Linked DNA regions of Arabidopsis thaliana. The protein of the gene in region 2 purifies or fractionates together with the protein of the main gene of each other region. This does not show direct contact. Each region holds a gene or a part of one and is shown on either strand. Other genes may lie near its edges.

Region 1 (7,200 bases), on a different chromosome or scaffold from region 2:
TCTTAAAAATATCAGATGGAATGTATTTCAAAACAAACTAATGTCTTTGATGATCCAAGCAGAAATTAAAGAGAATAATAATCCCTGAAAAAGTTCTCATCAAAGCCTCCAGAAAACAGTTAAACCGCCATAATTGTTGTAGTCGTCCCAATTGTCATCATTTCCATCAGCATTCTCTTCTTCACTGAAAAACTGCTCAGTATTCCACATCCTGATCATCTCTCGGCGCGTCATAGCTTCAAGAACCATATAACAAAGTCAAATACAACAATACAGTGCAAGTTTAAGAAACAAAGGAGTAAATAAGAAAGTTAACATCATTTTTGGATTTGCCATTTGCTGATCAATATATTCTTCATAGCTAGGCCAACGACGACCTTCTTCATCAGAATAGTAATTACATGTATCTACTTCAAAATCATATTCCGGTTCATTATAATCATAATCATCATAATAACCATGTCCCGTTAGTAGGCAACCAGAAGAGCAAGTCTTTTGGTCATTCTTCCATTCAACCTCACATTGGTAACAAAACTGATATCCACATCTACACAATGAATGCACAAAGTTTAACATTACGAAATGAAAGTACTCGAATGATGTAGAATAATCGAGTTAAATAAATATATACCTGCAAGTCATGTGGTTGCAGGCATGAGAAAGTTCGATCATGTGCCTACACATTTTACACTGACGCCATTTTTTGTCCTTTGCTAGAGACTTTAGCTTCAACTCATCAACTAGAGGGTCATGGTGAAGTTTTTTGTACTCAGCACACGACAAATCAGAATGTGATGGTACTTTGCAATCAATGCAGAAGAGTCCACAACATTTGACACAAGAACGGTCATTGGATAGGTCGGATTCACTAGAAAGCTCGGTTTTGGACATTAGCATTGAGCAGTTTGGATATGGGCAATAGATTCTCTCTGCAGCGGGAATCGAGTCCTCTTTCATCTTTTGTTTCCACATCTCAATCAGCTCTAATGTCAAAACCTTGCTACAGCTTTCAAGGGTGAGCTTAAACTTGCATCCATCATCAAGGCATGTGGGCACAGTTCCGCTTAGGAGCTTCACTTCCACATACTGTTTCACACAAGGAAAGCAATGACGGTGAACGCATTTTTCCGTGGTAAAGAACATGCGCTCGCCCTCGGTTTCTTCAAAACAAATGCTACATATCTCTGCCTTCACATCGTCCCTTGAAACTATGGCTTCTCTTGCAAGTTTAAAAGCAAAATTAACATCGTTAAGGGCAATCAAATCAGCGTCAGTATAGGTCATCTCTTCTAGAAGAAGTTGAAATTCGTCCACAAGATGGACAACCTTCTTCTTAATCTTCCCTCGACCAACAATCTGTAATGTAAATCAGAATTCACTCTCATTAAAACCAAGACATTATATCATCATTCCAAAGAATTCAAAGTATATTCTAACATGCAAAATCACCAATCTGGCCTCTAACTATTTCCACACTTCAAGAACTAAACTAAAGCAATAACAAAGAAGAGAAAACACTTACATATTGGTAAAGCAGTTGGTCATCGCAATAAACCACGACTTGTCTGATCCCCAAATCGAAGGATTCTCTTAACCCACGAATCAGTGCCATGCTCTCTACTTCTATGCAGCTAATCTTAGTGTCGCTTAGTGATTCTTTAATCTCATACAACAAATTCTCCTTCTCATCGCAAATCGCAACTCTAATCCAGACTTCACGGTCTTTTCCTTACCTTCCACCACCAAACCCTTGGTGTACAATCTGTAGACGACATTGTCTGAAAACTTCTTCACAGCAGAGTCGGATAGGACGACTGTAGAACAACCCTCGCCTTTAGGGTTTGGGAAATCTCCGGTTATGGTAGAATCTAGTCGCCGTTTTTAGTAACTCAAGTCTTGATCGCGTCTCTCCATGTCGTTTTGGTTTCAAGTAGGAAAATCTGAAGACTTATATATAAGAGAGAAGTTGTCAAATAAATTCTTATTAATTGCTTTGCTATGAAGGCACCGTAATGTTTGTAACTGTTATTGTATTGGTATCGATTGATTTTTCAATTAATATTGCCAAACCCTAGTTCCTCTAATCCATCTCCCAAAACTTATCAATTTATCGTTAGACGAATCATGTTGTTTCTTTTAAATTTTAATCTTGGTTTGTTTTTATCTCAAAGAGAAACATATGAGTGTAGTCTACATACTAAAAAAAGAGATGCGAATTAAAACGTTTCTTTTATAAAGTAGTGATACTGTTAAGCATACAACACACTTTTCAGTCTGAAATTTTCTCCAGCAATTTCTCTACCATGATTCTCTGTTGTGTCCCGCTTAAAGTTTCAGAATTCATCAACGCATTGGCGACGATAATCACTATACGAGGAGCAGCCGCATGCACCTGAAACCAGACAGAAGATATTAACCATGCGATTTCCAGTTGCATTGTTTGGATTCTTAAGAAGCAATCACTGTTTTTCTTACCCAACATCTCCCATTTAAGCCAAACGCAGTCTCAAACGAGAGTTTCTTTCCAAGAGCTTCAAGGACCGGGCAAGTTGGTGAACTCAACAACCTAATAAGAACAAAGTGTAAGAGTGAGAAAAAGTCGAGAAGAGGCCACTTCATCTAGAAGAAAAATAAAGGAATAAGAGTGAAACTCACATTCTAGATAAACCAGTTGAAGTTTCAAACATGAAACCATCTTTTAAGGGACCAAATCCTGCAGCCTTTCCACTTTCTATTACATTGTCCAACAATTCTAGTCAGCAATTGCTTAGTCTAAACAATTAATGCGGAGAAACAAGGAAATGATTTAACTTTTTAAACTTTGTGAGAAAAAAGAATGGATGGACTAACCGTCTACACATGACAGCTCCGGGTTCATTCCTGTGTTTGTCTTCACAACCCGAGTATAAAGCAGAGTGCTTACCTGTATCAACAAATTGTCACAACTCCCAAAAACACGTGATCACTATGTTATCACTTAATACAGCGAATCCACTTGAAATAGAGTTGATGAGCTCAACTCCAGACGAAGTAAAAGTGCCTATTATGCTCATAAACAAACCAATGAAGTACTGGATCCTTTCAATATCACACACAAGCCATTGTAATTTCCAGGGAAATTCTCAATACACTGTAATGGCAATACTAACATCTCAAACAACTGAATGCAGTTACCAGCTAGAGACTATTTTGATGATGGTTCAGATTGAAGAAGTATATTCAGAAGGTACTTGCCTCAAACTTGGGATAATTTCTTCTGTTTGCTCCTTCAAATGCAAGCACAGGCAAAAGAGCCAATTGTGGTCCTTTAATGTCTATCCAATAGTTCTGCAATGAAACATGTGTCAAAACGATTTTCAAAATATTATGATCTACTTTGTTACATGCAACATGACTTTGGCTGAGAACTCTAGGGGCAACACTCTAAATAAAGGCTTATGCCGTTTTCTTTATCCATGATCTCAAGTATTTATTAACATATACATGTAACTAACAAACAAGCTGAGCAATGATAGAAGTTGGATAATGATAGAGCACAACCGAAATCAATATTCTTTATACATGATTTTTGCATTAAATGAACTGTATACAGAGAAAAAATGCTTGATTCAGAGGGTCCAAGGGAAAAGGATCTCTAACAAAAATTTAAGGATCGTCTTTAGAGTACTTACTTCTCCTTTACAATCTACCACAATGCCAAGAACATGATCCTCAGGACGAGGTACATACTGCAAAAAAAACATAATAACAGAGTCAAAATCGAGTAACATGGAGTAATTCTTCAAACTAGAGAGCAAAACCACCACTTTTTCGACAAGTTAAGCGCAGATGAACAATCGAATAACTAGTAGAGCTAGGAGATATCAGGAAAAAGGTACCAATTTATTGCAAAATACAACCAGCAAGAAACTAATTAGTTCTCACCCTTTTATGAGAACTTTCCACCCAATACTTATTTGGCTTAGAGTACCTCAACTTCCCAGCTCTCATAACAGATATCACCTCATTATCCTGAAAAAACCTCAAAATCATATGTCAATCTTCTAGCCTTGCAAGCCCAACAAAAAGCAAACTGTAGATTCCAAATTAAGTTTATTCCTCAAATGCCAATGCAAGATCCAAAATTCAACATAACTTGTTTAATAATGAGCAAAACATTCATTAATTCATTCATACACTCAACACAACAAATTTCAAACTCCAAAAAAATGATCGAAGATTTGGAACAAGTGATTTTGAGAAAGTTAAAAACCTGACGGAGACCACTGCCGAGTTTGATTGTTTGGTTAGTCATGTTTGATAAATCGAGAACAACATCACCTGGAACCTGAAACCCATCTCACAAAACTTAATCTTTCAATGTAATCCCAATCTAAAACGATAATCAAAGAAGCAGAGGTTTTAGTAGAAAATACGCACAACAGTCTGATCAATGAGGCTTGTCGGCGAGGTAGAAACTTCAGTACCCATCTTTCTTATTTCTTCGCTAACAACACCAATTGATTTATCCAATGAAGGGAGACAGAGCAAAAGCAGAACTGAGAGGTAGAGAGAAAGAAGAACCCTAAAAAACACTAAAACCCTAAAGTTTTTTGCTTTGGTGATGTTGAAGACGATCGGAAATTAAAAACTCCGAACCAAGTAATTTACTATAATGGTTATGAGTGGTTTATTTCGGTTTAGTAGATCCATATGATTTGGTCAACTAAAAAGTCTCCTTCGTCCTTCCTTTTTTTTTGGGACAAAATGACACTTCTTTCACTGATTTTCAACGACTGCTCTGTGGACCATGAGTGATGGATGGTAGTTGTTTTTGGTGAACAAGAAACAATGACACTGATGGTTTCGAATTTTACAATGGATTAGGTGATCTGATGTAGACATGTGTGTGCATATACATCAATTAATTACATAAAGAAGAATCTGACTCGCATATTCAAAATAAGGGATTTACGTCACTAACCAACTTTCTGCTCTACTTTTCTCTGTACATGGTATATCTATTCTATAAGCTCTTCACCTTCTGCGTTTTTCGTTTTCCTCTTTCACAGAGCTCTTAACCTGCATTGCGGAATTCAAATGTTTTCTCAATTTGATATTCTCCTCAGTCCTCATACATATCTGCCATTATCTTCCTCAGCTCATCCTCAGAAGCAGTCTCATCAAACCCTAACAGCAGTTGCGCCTGAAAATATGCCACTTTCAAATTTAAAACGAGGAATCCAGCTTGGCGATTTTGAGCCATGGTTATCGAATGTAAACATTTGAATACGATTTTTCTTGCTACAGATATTAAAGGAGATGCACCAATAGCTTACCTCAATCTGATCTTGCAAGGCATTTGATACTTCAGATAAGTCTTCTCTGTTGTTACTGGACTCATCCATTGACAAGTTTGTGTTGTTCACTTTAAGCCTGTCGTGGAGAATTTCACAGTCACTATACAGCCTTCTTCTTGCTTCTAGCGTGTTCTCGACTATTATCCTTTCCTGTTGGAGGAGTTTCTGAAAAAATTAAACATGTTTCAGTATGTTTTGATGTTCTTTCTGTAGGATCATATACATTTACCACAAGCGGATGATGCAAGCAATAATATAATGCTTTTTATTTACAAGCTTAAGATTTACCTCAGTGTCAGACTTCTCTGTCAGCGATCGAGTCAGTTCCTTTTCCATTTCCATATGTGAACGTCTCAGGGATTTGACCTCTCTGACAAGCACTTTTATGTCTGCCTTTGATTTTGCCTCCAGTTCAACATACCGTCTAGAAAGATCTTCCAGTTGCTGTTTTGTGGCATCCATTTCTTGTAACAGCTCATGGCTCTCAGAGATTGTTGAGTTTCCTGACGTCTTAGAATCTGAACTCCCATCCTGTATTAGTTTGCAGGTGTCAGTAAGTTACTTTGCTAGATATAAATTACTCGCTCGATGTGAACTTGCTTAATTGTGGAAAGAATGTGATTGAGATGGAACTATTTCAAATTTCAATACCTCTTTTGACTTTAACTTCAGTTCCATCTCAAAAGTTTTTTGCCTGAGTTCTTCCATATCCCACTGCATCTTGGTAACACTCTGTCTCTCGGTCATCAAAGCTTGCTCCAAATTCTCTTTGTTTCTCTGTTTAGTAGTTTCAAGTTCCACTTCCAGATCATCAACCTGAACAGGAAAACCAAGATTACATATATGACATTCGCATGAAGAGTAAAGGAAGAAGCGCAGATTTCATTACCAACAAACTTGAAAACAGATGTACTATTATTTTCAATCATGTACCTTTCTGTTCAGATATTCCTTCACCGCTGTCTCTTGATTTAGTCTCGCTATAAGATCCTCCATGTCTGTTTTTGAATTGAGAAGTCTCTCATTCATAGTTAATAGAATCCTATTTAATTTACTATGCATTTTCAGCGGGAGAACTATTCGTCCATTACCCGGTATCTCCAGGTTACCAACAGATATATCATGATTAACATCCAGCTGGCTATGTACAATGGAGCTCAAGATACTAGAGGTTGATGTCTCACCGGCTAGTAACGAAACCCCGTCAGCGCTCTCAAGAGAAAGCTTTCGATCATGCATCACTGAGTGACTAGTTTCTGATTCAGAGCGACACCGTAAGTCGTTGTTTGCTCGAAATACACCTTTAGAAGCTTTTCCATTGTACGAATTCGTCTCTGTGATATCATTGGCATATCCTAAATGGACTCTGTGCTTAGGAAAATCTTCTAGCTGCTCGATAATAGTTTGACTCATACTCAGTCCCTCGTCAATGTTGGACATGCTAAACTTTACAAGCTTCTCTGTTGGATTTGTCAGATCTTCATCCAAAGTTAGATCTCCAGTATCAGTTTCAGAAACATCATCCTGACCTAAACTTGCTGATCCGAGCTCAGATGTTTCATAAGCAGTATCGCTGCCATAGTCAGATGAGAGCAAAGAACTGCCACCAGAATTTGGGTGAACTAGAGACGACAAGCTTGTGCTATTTCCATCATCATTGGAATCGGAAGCATTCTGATCTACAACTTGGCATGCTGGAACAAAAAAAAATTCAACTTTAAATTATAGTGAAAGACTAAGCACATTTACTTAAACATAGATTAACTAACTGCCTTTAAGAATCTTTATCAAACGGTAACTGTAATACTATAATGGGCTCATACCAGACCTAGCAGTAGCTTCTAGTTCGAGGAAGGATGCA
Region 2 (9,419 bases):
GGTGTCACGATCGTTCACCGACCGGATAATGCATCTAGCATCCTGATTCCCTGGTATCGTTCAAATAATACATTTTTATAAAAGCTAAACATGTTGCTATCTTTGTTTTTTTAAATATCCCCATAAGTGTTACCATTTTATAAAGAACAAGTGTTGCAAAGTGTTACAACAGTGAAAGCTTCCGCATACAAAACTCGACAGACTCTTTGGAACATACAACATCAGATTATCTTCAAAGATTCGATAATCCCATTTCTCAAAAGTACTAACTATCCCAGCCAGTCTTTAAGTTCTGCTTCATACGATAATGAACATTTTCAATATGTACTTTCCAAAAAGAAATTCCAATATCATATCCAATTATTCTACTTCCCATATAAAGTATCGCAAGTAATAATATTGGATTCTTGGTAAATCCATCTTAAACTTATTTTTGGTAAATTATATACCTACGTGGGAAGATAATATTTTATACCAAATAATTATACGATCAAGATATATTTTTATTTTGTAAATTATAGTAATATCTATATTCAGAATAAAAAATAATATGAGGAAGTAAATCAGTTGAAAATCTCTATTACGTAGATTTTTTTATAAAGAAAAATAAGATGATGAATACATGTGGAAGAAGATAAATATGGAATCTTTTATTTTTTGGTCAACAGAATCTTGAAGAGCCCAAAACAACAACAACACTCGGAGACTTTTTAGGGCTCATCCCCGAATTATCAGTGCAAGTGGATCGAATTAAACCAAAATCAAAACTAAGCAACCTAACTAACCATATCTTCCGATTTCTCTTATCTCTCTGAAGCCACAAATCTCCAGATTCATTCGTCGTCTCGGTGAGTGTTTTTCTTTTACAGTTCGATTTTTCCGACTCTGTTCGTTGATTCGATTTTCAAATCTGATTTATGTTTTGGGGGAAATCGAATTTGATATCTGTGTGCTCTCGGATATATTATATAGGTTAAGGTTAGACGGAGAAGAAGATACAACAAATATGGCGGTTAGTATGAAACAAATGTCGTTGGTCGTCTCTGCTTTGGGCGTCTTATCCTTTGTTTTGGGAGTTATCGCCGAGAACAAGAAGGTACAAAAAAAAGTCGTCTCCTTTTGATTATTTCGTGAGAAAACTTTAAATTTCCTGTTTGTTTTCGATGATGATTTTTGTTCTTCTTCTTTGTGTTTATCTACTACTACCACATAAACAATTCCTGTTGCTTTTTGGCGCAAGTTAGTTTTTTTTTTGCACAGGAAATAATCACTCTGGAATTGTATGTATCAAACAGTGATCTAACTATGGATGAATCAATTGTTTTGATTTCCTGTTTCTTTAGGATGCTTTGGTTGTTATTTGTGCTATTCTCTGTGAATGGAGGATGTCAAATTTGTTTTAGTCACAGGACTATGACTCTGATATTGTGATATTGTTGGATTGTATGAAAAAATGTGATCTTCTCACAGCTTCATAATTGTATCTAATGATGGGAAACCAATGTGATCTTAACTGACCCGTAGCTAAATCTTACTCTTTCTACACAATTGTTTGACCTCATCATTGTCACTGATCTCTCTAGGATACCGTATGTCAAGAGCTTTTCATAAGTGGGTAAACCACTTCGGCTTTCTTATTCTTATGTGTTACTGATTGTGTGATTTGTTTCTGTTCTTTGTGTTTTCATCTTAGCCTGCGTCTGGGACTCCAATAAGTGGAAAAGGAGTAGTTATCTGCAAATACCCATCTGATCCAACTGTTGCCTTGGGATACCTTTCTGCTGCTTTTCTCCTTGCCTGCACTGTAGCAGGATACAAATCCTTGTTCATCTCTTACAAGGGAAAGTCTGTTCCTAACTCTGTCTTGTTCAAAAGCACCAGCTTCTCTGTGTTCTTCAACATTGCCTTGTAAGCATTTCCTCTTCTTTTCAAGAACACAGTAGCTAGACCATTACAAATATTCTTGGATTCCGGTATTATAAAGCCTAAAAATAGGAGTCTTTTTGTGACCTATGGTTATTGTCGTGTAGGATAACATCTGGACTGGCCTTGTCTCTGTTGCTCTGGCCAACCATTACAGAACAACTTCACTTGACCCGTAATGTTCACCGAAACTTAGAAACCAGTTGCCCCACGGCTAAGACCGGTCTGCTTGGTGGAGGTGCCTTTGTGTCTTTGGACTCGTGCCTTTTCTGGTTGGTTGCTCTGATGCTCGCTGATAACGCCCGTGAAGACCATTTTGATGAAGTTGAAAGCAGAAGCATCGATGGGAACTCTTCCTCCAGGGATGTGAATCTCAAGATTGATGCTTGAGAGAATGATATGCTTTTATTGGTATTGGGTATAAGAAGGGTTTTTCATTTGTTTTCTACTTGTTTGATTAGGAAAATAATAATTTGTTTCTTCTGTTGTTTTTTTTTTTTTTAATGATTGGCTAGAATGTTATGAAACCCATCTCTGCACCTTGATGCATTGTGATTCATAAGCTGTATCTGTGAAAAATAATCTTTTGGTTATATCTCTTACATTTGACATAATTGATATGAGAAAGCACTTCAAATCACACACTATATCAACATTTTTCTTTCTAAGAATATGTAAATATTCACTTGAATTCGGGTGGCTACTAGTAGTCTAGTACTACTATCACAAACCATAAGACTCTTTTATGTCAAAACCAATTAACATGTTTAGAGCCAATGGTTGGAGCTTGGGATGGCATAAATGGGCTAGGTATAGCATATCATAAAGCCCATTAGAAAAGCCCGATATAAACTACAGATCAGTAAAATTAAACCCTGTCAAAAACCCTTTCGTTTTCGTCGTCCGCTCGAGAAAAGAAGATTCACTTCCATCTGCAAATTCCTTCACTCCCTGTGAGCTCAATAGAGAGAGAAGAAGAGATGCCGCTCGGAGAGAGAGGAGGATGGGAGAGGACCGAGTCCAGATACTGCGGCGTTGAGACTGATTTCTCCAACGATGTTACTCATCTTCTCAACTTCAACATTTCCACCGGCGGTTTTGACTATGTTCTCGCTCCTCTGGTTTGTTTCCTTCTTCTTCCTCGACTCTCACGTCCTTGCCTGTTGTTACTGTATCAATTGGGATTTGAAATTTTATATCTTTGACGGAGTTTACTTCTTTCTCTTCCTGCAGGTGGATCCTTCGTATAGGCCGAGCTTGGTGGAAGGAAATGGTGTAGATACTCAGGTTCTTCCAGTCTGTGGCTCTGACTTAGTCTTGTCACCTTCTCAATGGAGCAGTCATGTTGTTGGTATGATTCTATTTGCTTCTCCACCGTGTGATTTTGTACTCGTTATGAATATGATGGGTTTTGATTTGAGTGGTAAATCTTCATTCTCTAGGAAAAATTAGTTCGTGGATTGACTTGGATTCTGAAGATGAGGTCTTACGGATGGATTCAGAAACCACATTGAAGCAAGAAATAGCTTGGGCTACTCATCTCTCCTTACAGGTGCTTGTGCATCTATGGATTTAACTCACTCTCTTTGTTTTCTTGCCTGCAAAGTGATTTTGAAGAGAAATTCTTTTGTTGCAGGCATGCCTTCTTCCCACTCCTAAAGGGAAATCGTGCGCCAATTATGCCAGATGTGTGAACCAGATCTTACAAGGCCTCACTACCTTGCAGGTGGTTTACGAGTTTCTTGCTGCCGGTCTAGCTTTATTTCAGATGAGACTTTTCTTTACAAGATCACCTTCAATCAAGCTCTAACATTTTGTGGATCTTCTTTGTTTTGTTTAAATGTCATTTCTGCGCTGAAGTTATGGCTAAGGGTTCCACTGGTGAAGTCTGAAGGTGATTCAATGGATGATACCTCAGAGGGACTGGTAAGACATTGGATCAAATTTTATGCAAACTTAAGATTGTTAGTACTTTTTGTGCCTTCTCAGATTTTTAAGGGACTCTCTAATGCGGATCCCTTGGAATCACTTGATGTGGCTGCCTTTTAAACCTAGAAATACAAATAAATGTCCCTATCTGTTCACGTTTTTGTACACTTTGTGTGAGGATTACTTTAATATATACTCTCTTCTATGCAGAATGATTCCTGGGAGCTGTGGAATTCGTTTCGTCTTCTTTGTGAGCATGACAGTAAGCTGTCTGTTGCTCTTGATGTTCTGTGAGTTGAGAGAAACTCTTGATTATTGTTGTTAATGTGGACCCAAAGTTTTTTTTCCACTCTACTAACATAACACCATTTTCTTCATATAGGAGTACACTACCCTCTGAAACTTCACTAGGGCGCTGGATGGGAGAGTCTGTGAGAGCAGCCATATTAAGCACTGATGTAAGTGCCTGACTTCTTGCCGCATTATTATAAACTCCACTTTGAAGTATTGCGAATCACAAAATGCCTCTAATTTGGCGTTGCAGGCTTTCTTAACAAATGCTCGGGGTTATCCTTGCTTGTCCAAACGCCACCAAAAGTTAATAGCAGGATTTTTTGATCATGCTGCCCAGGTAACAAACATCCCACTCTTTGTGATATAGAAATAAATTAAAATCTTCTTTTGACTCACAAAAGAGATCTATTAGACTCGATCTGGTGCTCATTATCATCAATCTTGTAAATGCAGGTTGTAATTTGTGGAAAGCCTGTTCATAATCTTCAAAAGCCTCTTGATTCTAGCTCGGAGGGTAATTTTTCTGTATAATCTTTTGTCCTCTGAAAATTAGCTATTATCCTCTGGGCTTGTTTTCCGTAGCTCAATTTATCACGGGCATTGTTATAATCATAGTTGATTCCAAGTTTTGAGCTAAATATTTTATTACGGGCATTGTTTGTCAGGTACAGAGAAGAATCCTCTGCGCATATATTTGGACTATGTTGCTTATCTGTTCCAAAAGATGGAATCACTTTCTGAACAGGAACGCATCGAGGTCGTTTTTTGCATCCTTTTGCCTCAGTCCTTCTATGTTTTTTATCACTAGATGCAAGCTGGCAGATACAACTCTATTCTGACAGTTATCTAAATCTTACTCTTTGTACAGCTGGGTTACAGGGATTTTTTGCAGGCACCCCTGCAGGTTAGCCTCTTTTCATAAGCAATTCTGATTTCTGTCCGTTCATCATGATAATTTACCCTGTATGAAAATGCTCTATTCTTACTGTAAAGAGCCTCTACTGTTTTTTTTTTAATGAATACAGCCTCTTATGGACAACCTCGAAGCCCAAACCTATGAGACGTTTGAGAGAGACTCTGTTAAATACATCCAAGTATGTTGCATATTCTAGTTTTTTCCCCTCACATCTTAAATTTTAACTCCTTTGGTTTCTAGATTTCCCCTCGTCTATTTCTGCTTCGGTTTGCAGAGGAGAGTGGACTGATGGATGAATCATGTTGAACAATTTAATATCATAGCCTGGTTTTTTTTTAAAGCATGCTTAACTTTCGTCCATCTTTGTGTTGTTAGTATCAAAGAGCAGTTGAGAAAGCCTTGGTGGACAGGGTACCTGATGAAAAAGCATCCGAGTTGACTACTGTATGTCATATGTCAATGTTTTGCTTACAAAGTGGCATTTTCATTTATAAGTTTTTTTTCTGCTATTCATATGAAATACTTCAGTAGGACTGAAATTTTAGTTTTTAGGTCCTGATGGTTGTGGGGGCAGGAAGGGGACCCCTTGTGAGGGCATCGTTACAGGTAAAGTCCTGATGCACAAGGAGACATTGAAAATTCATTTGTTTCATTAATCAAATGTGTTCATTGTTTCCTTTACCAGGCAGCTGAAGAAACTGATCGGAAGTTGAAAGTTTATGCCGTGGAAAAGAATCCTAATGCCGTTGTAACACTCCATGTGAGTTGTCAGCACTGAGTCGATTAAAAAATTGCTAATTTTCCTGTGATTTCATTCGGACGTGCAGTGTGGTTTCTAATTAACTCAGAGCATTGTTATTTTTTCTGATAGAATTTGGTTAAGATGGAAGGATGGGAAGACGTTGTTACGATAATATCCTGTGACATGCGTTTTTGGAATGCTCCCGAGCAAGCTGATATATTGGTCAGTATGTACAGATTTTTGTAGCTAATACTCATGCTGACATTATATACAGTTCATCTAATTCTCGTTTGCCTCTTCTATGCAGGTTAGCGAACTGCTGGGTTCTTTTGGAGACAATGAACTTTCTCCTGAGTGTCTTGATGGAGCCCAAAGGTTTCTGAAGCCAGACGGAATTTCAATACCATCCTCGTATGTGTACTCCTTCGCTTAGTTGAAATTTCATAAGAAACTCATCTGTCCTTTTGTTTCTCTAACTGGAGGAGGAACATCGTTATTACTTTTTCAGGTATACAAGTTTCATACAGCCTATAACAGCTTCGAAGCTTTACAATGACGTAGGTTCTTCTGCTTTTTGCTATGTACTCGCAAGAGTTTTCAGATTAACTCAAGTTCTTTTTCATCCATTTGGCAGGTTAAGGCTCATAAAGATCTTGCGCACTTTGAAACTGCTTATGTTGTCAAGCTGCATAGTGTAGCAAAGCTTGCTCCTTCCCAGTCTGTGAGTCTCTCTCTGTCTCCAGCATTTTCTAATAGCTTAAAGTGTTCTCTTTAAATACATTTATGCAAGTCTTGTCGATCTGACCATCTCAGGATTTTTGGTTTGGTCTTAAATAGGTTTTCACATTTACTCATCCAAACTTCTCAACGAAAGTCAACAACCAACGCTATAAGAAGCTTCAGTTCAGTCTACCAAGCGATGCTGGCTCAGCTTTGGTGCATGGTACCTGCTTTTTTCTAGCCCTTTTTTGTTTGTTAATGTCAATTTTACATCTCCATTTCCGTAATCTGAAACTGAATCTACTGCGATCATAATAGGATTCGCTGGCTATTTTGATTCCGTCCTTTATAAAGATGTTCATCTTGGGATCGAGCCTACAACAGCAACACCAAACATGTTCAGCTGGTAATGGATTAATGTCTATAAATGTTTTAAAACAGAGCTTTCTTCTATCGAACCTCTTACTTCAACCGAGAGAAAATCGTGTTCCTTTTGGCAGGTTCCCAATCTTTTTCCCATTGAGGAAGCCTGTGGAGGTTCACCCTGATACTCCATTAGAAGTACACTTTTGGAGGTGTTGTGGTTCCTCAAAGGTAAAAAAAGTTGAAACCACAAGATTCCATACAACTAACTCTTTGTCTAAAGAACTATTATTGATCCTCTGATTTTCGGGTTCAGGTTTGGTATGAATGGTCGGTGTCTTCACCTACTCCATCTCCGATGCATAACACCAATGGCCGTTCGTACTGGGTTGGCCTTTAGGATTAGAGACTTTTGACTGATGACGAAAAAGTTATGTAATCTTATTGTGCTGTATTTTTGTCACAAGAAAGACTAAAGTTTACGAGTGAATCAAATCTCTCTTGACCTTATTTATGTTTGTACTTTTTCAGTAATTTCATTGCACTTTTAATACAAAGCTATCTCTTTCATCTCAAAAGGCCAAAGTATACAAGTGAATCAAATCTATTTTGTTCATTTAATTGTTTGTACTTTTTGCAGTAATTCAGAGCTATCTCTAATACACGCTGTAATCTCAAACGGCCAAAACGACCCAACAAATCCTGCCTCGGCCGTTTGACAAAACATTGGTAATAGATTAAGAAGTTGCGTTTAAGGAGTTCCGTTGCTGTTTTTTAATCCATTCGTCGTAATCTTTAAGTAATTGCTGAAGCAGAAGGGGAACCAGTGTATCGACCAGTGTCTGCATTACTCTGCAATCATCGTATCAAAATATAACATTACTCGGGCACTTCGAGCCAAGAAGCAGAAGAAATGTAAAACGAACAATAATGTACACTTACAGATTCCCAGGAGCCTCAACAGCTGATACTGGAAGCATTGTGAACGGTCGCGTTGAGATCTGCCATGAACAAGGGGGATTTTGATGAACATAGGAAACAAAGCTTTTTCATATACACAAAACCGAAATGAGAATCATAAGTCGACATGACCTATCCACACAATGATGGATCACAGACAACCATCACGGTACAGTGCAGTATTTGATACTCTTAAGGCTAATAGGATTGCACGAGAATGAAGTTATGAAGGAATGAAAGAAACTGAACTGCAATACACTACCTCTAGAGTGACATTCAATCTCACGTCAACTTCCAAAAATGGCTCTGGATGTTCCATGTTCCAAGTCATGCAGTTTGTCATTATTGCTGTGAACCAGAAATGGGAAAACACTTGTATTACTTTTGAAACATTAGATACCAAGTGCTTTTCTTCACAAGAGGAAAGTTACCTGAAAACCTTTCACTTTGGTTCTCCAATAACTCTGATCCTTCCAACTGCAAGACAGTGGTTCAAAACATTTGTCGGTAAAAGGAAAACAATAGAATATATATCTGCTAAATCAGAACGGGAATCTTCATCATTCAACCTTGCAGGAAAGCAGCTCAACTGTACAATCTTCCTGTGTGGGAGTGACCCTTAAAACCAGTACTGGATAAACTTCAAAACTCATTAACTGAACTTTTGGCAATGTACATCTGCACTGTAAGACAAAGATTTACTATCTCCCTTTCCAGATAGAAGGCATATTTCCAAATAATGATGCTAACATATTAGAAAACATCTGACAAGCTTGTGACTGGATATCAATTAGACGAATCTATGTTTATGATTAGAGATACACTCTTCGGATACTTATGCTTTGCAGATATAACAATCAAAGCGATGAAGATCCCAAAACAGATGCAAAGACCATGTATGCCAGACAAGTATGAGAGAAACTTCCAGTGTCCTATGAACATTAATTGATATGAGAGAGTTAAAGAAAGAACCTGTAAGTATCATCACTATCATCAACTAAATGGTAACTCTGCAAAGCCTTTGCGTTGATCACAGCCTCCATGCCAGATGGGTGTTTCAAAAACTCACTGAAAGTCAGCTCCTTTTCTCCATTAATCTCTAGCTTAATTCTCTGCTTCCTCGAAGCAGAGATATTCGCTTTCTTTAAACTAGAAATCACCATTGCTCTTTTGCCACTATGAACATTACCCATATGAATTCTCTCCCTGAAACAGAGCTCCTGACCTATCAAATCCAATAAACCAAAAGAAGAAGATAAACTAAGAAAGTATAAACACCTGGGGATGGTGTTAGGGTAGGATCTAAGCAAACCCAGGAAATTAGATCCAGAGCTTTCTGAAGTCTTCGGAGTTCTCCATCCGTTTCTAATCCCAATATCCATTTTCTCTATCAATCCAAGAATTAAGGAGCCAAAAAAGGGACAAGCAACCTTAAATCTTAAAAGTTGGTTCTGCAAGAGACTTATCGCTTCGGTCTTGCACGATCATCTTCGTGGACAGAAGAGACGTGATTTCTCTCCGTCAGTGACACATAAAACTCTTATCCGCCATTGATTTGATGTGCTCTGAAGA

Evidence for each region.
Region 1: the proteins of SKB1 (region 2) and AT2G25355 fractionate together in Arabidopsis thaliana (co-fractionation; one large-scale study listed by BioGRID). This does not show direct contact.

The regions. Positions count from the first base shown.
Region 1 is NC_003071.7:10,798,661-10,805,860, reverse strand, and holds AT2G25355 (PNAS-3-like protein), read right to left. Parts: upstream 4,771-7,200; 5' UTR 4,471-4,770; coding exon 4,420-4,470; intron 4,328-4,419; coding exon 4,253-4,327; intron 4,012-4,252; coding exon 3,925-4,011; intron 3,729-3,924; coding exon 3,672-3,728; intron 3,328-3,671; coding exon 3,235-3,327; intron 2,924-3,234; coding exon 2,851-2,923; intron 2,732-2,850; coding exon 2,656-2,731; intron 2,567-2,655; coding exon 2,476-2,566; intron 2,393-2,475; coding exon 2,270-2,392; 3' UTR 2,139-2,269; downstream 1-2,138. Other genes in the region: AT2G25360 (RING/U-box superfamily protein), read right to left, coding at 100-236, 378-547, 632-1,356, 1,523-1,612; AT2G25350 (Phox (PX) domain-containing protein), read right to left, coding at 5,163-5,504, 5,628-5,870, 5,991-6,155, 6,273-7,033, 7,163-7,200.
Region 2 is NC_003075.7:15,130,053-15,139,471, reverse strand, and holds SKB1 (SHK1 binding protein 1), read left to right. Parts: upstream 1-2,775; 5' UTR 2,776-2,903; coding exon 2,904-3,044; intron 3,045-3,156; coding exon 3,157-3,274; intron 3,275-3,365; coding exon 3,366-3,475; intron 3,476-3,559; coding exon 3,560-3,649; intron 3,650-3,783; coding exon 3,784-3,849; intron 3,850-4,062; coding exon 4,063-4,142; intron 4,143-4,234; coding exon 4,235-4,310; intron 4,311-4,396; coding exon 4,397-4,483; intron 4,484-4,599; coding exon 4,600-4,660; intron 4,661-4,811; coding exon 4,812-4,903; intron 4,904-5,014; coding exon 5,015-5,050; intron 5,051-5,171; coding exon 5,172-5,240; intron 5,241-5,437; coding exon 5,438-5,506; intron 5,507-5,614; coding exon 5,615-5,668; intron 5,669-5,747; coding exon 5,748-5,822; intron 5,823-5,933; coding exon 5,934-6,026; intron 6,027-6,111; coding exon 6,112-6,215; intron 6,216-6,312; coding exon 6,313-6,361; intron 6,362-6,438; coding exon 6,439-6,525; intron 6,526-6,641; and 10 more. Other genes in the region: AT4G31130 (keratin-associated protein (DUF1218)), read left to right, coding at 1,007-1,096, 1,694-1,908, 2,031-2,313; AT4G31115 (DUF1997 family protein, putative (DUF1997)), read right to left, coding at 7,625-7,739, 7,830-7,888, 8,110-8,195, 8,279-8,324, 8,417-8,525, 8,820-9,229.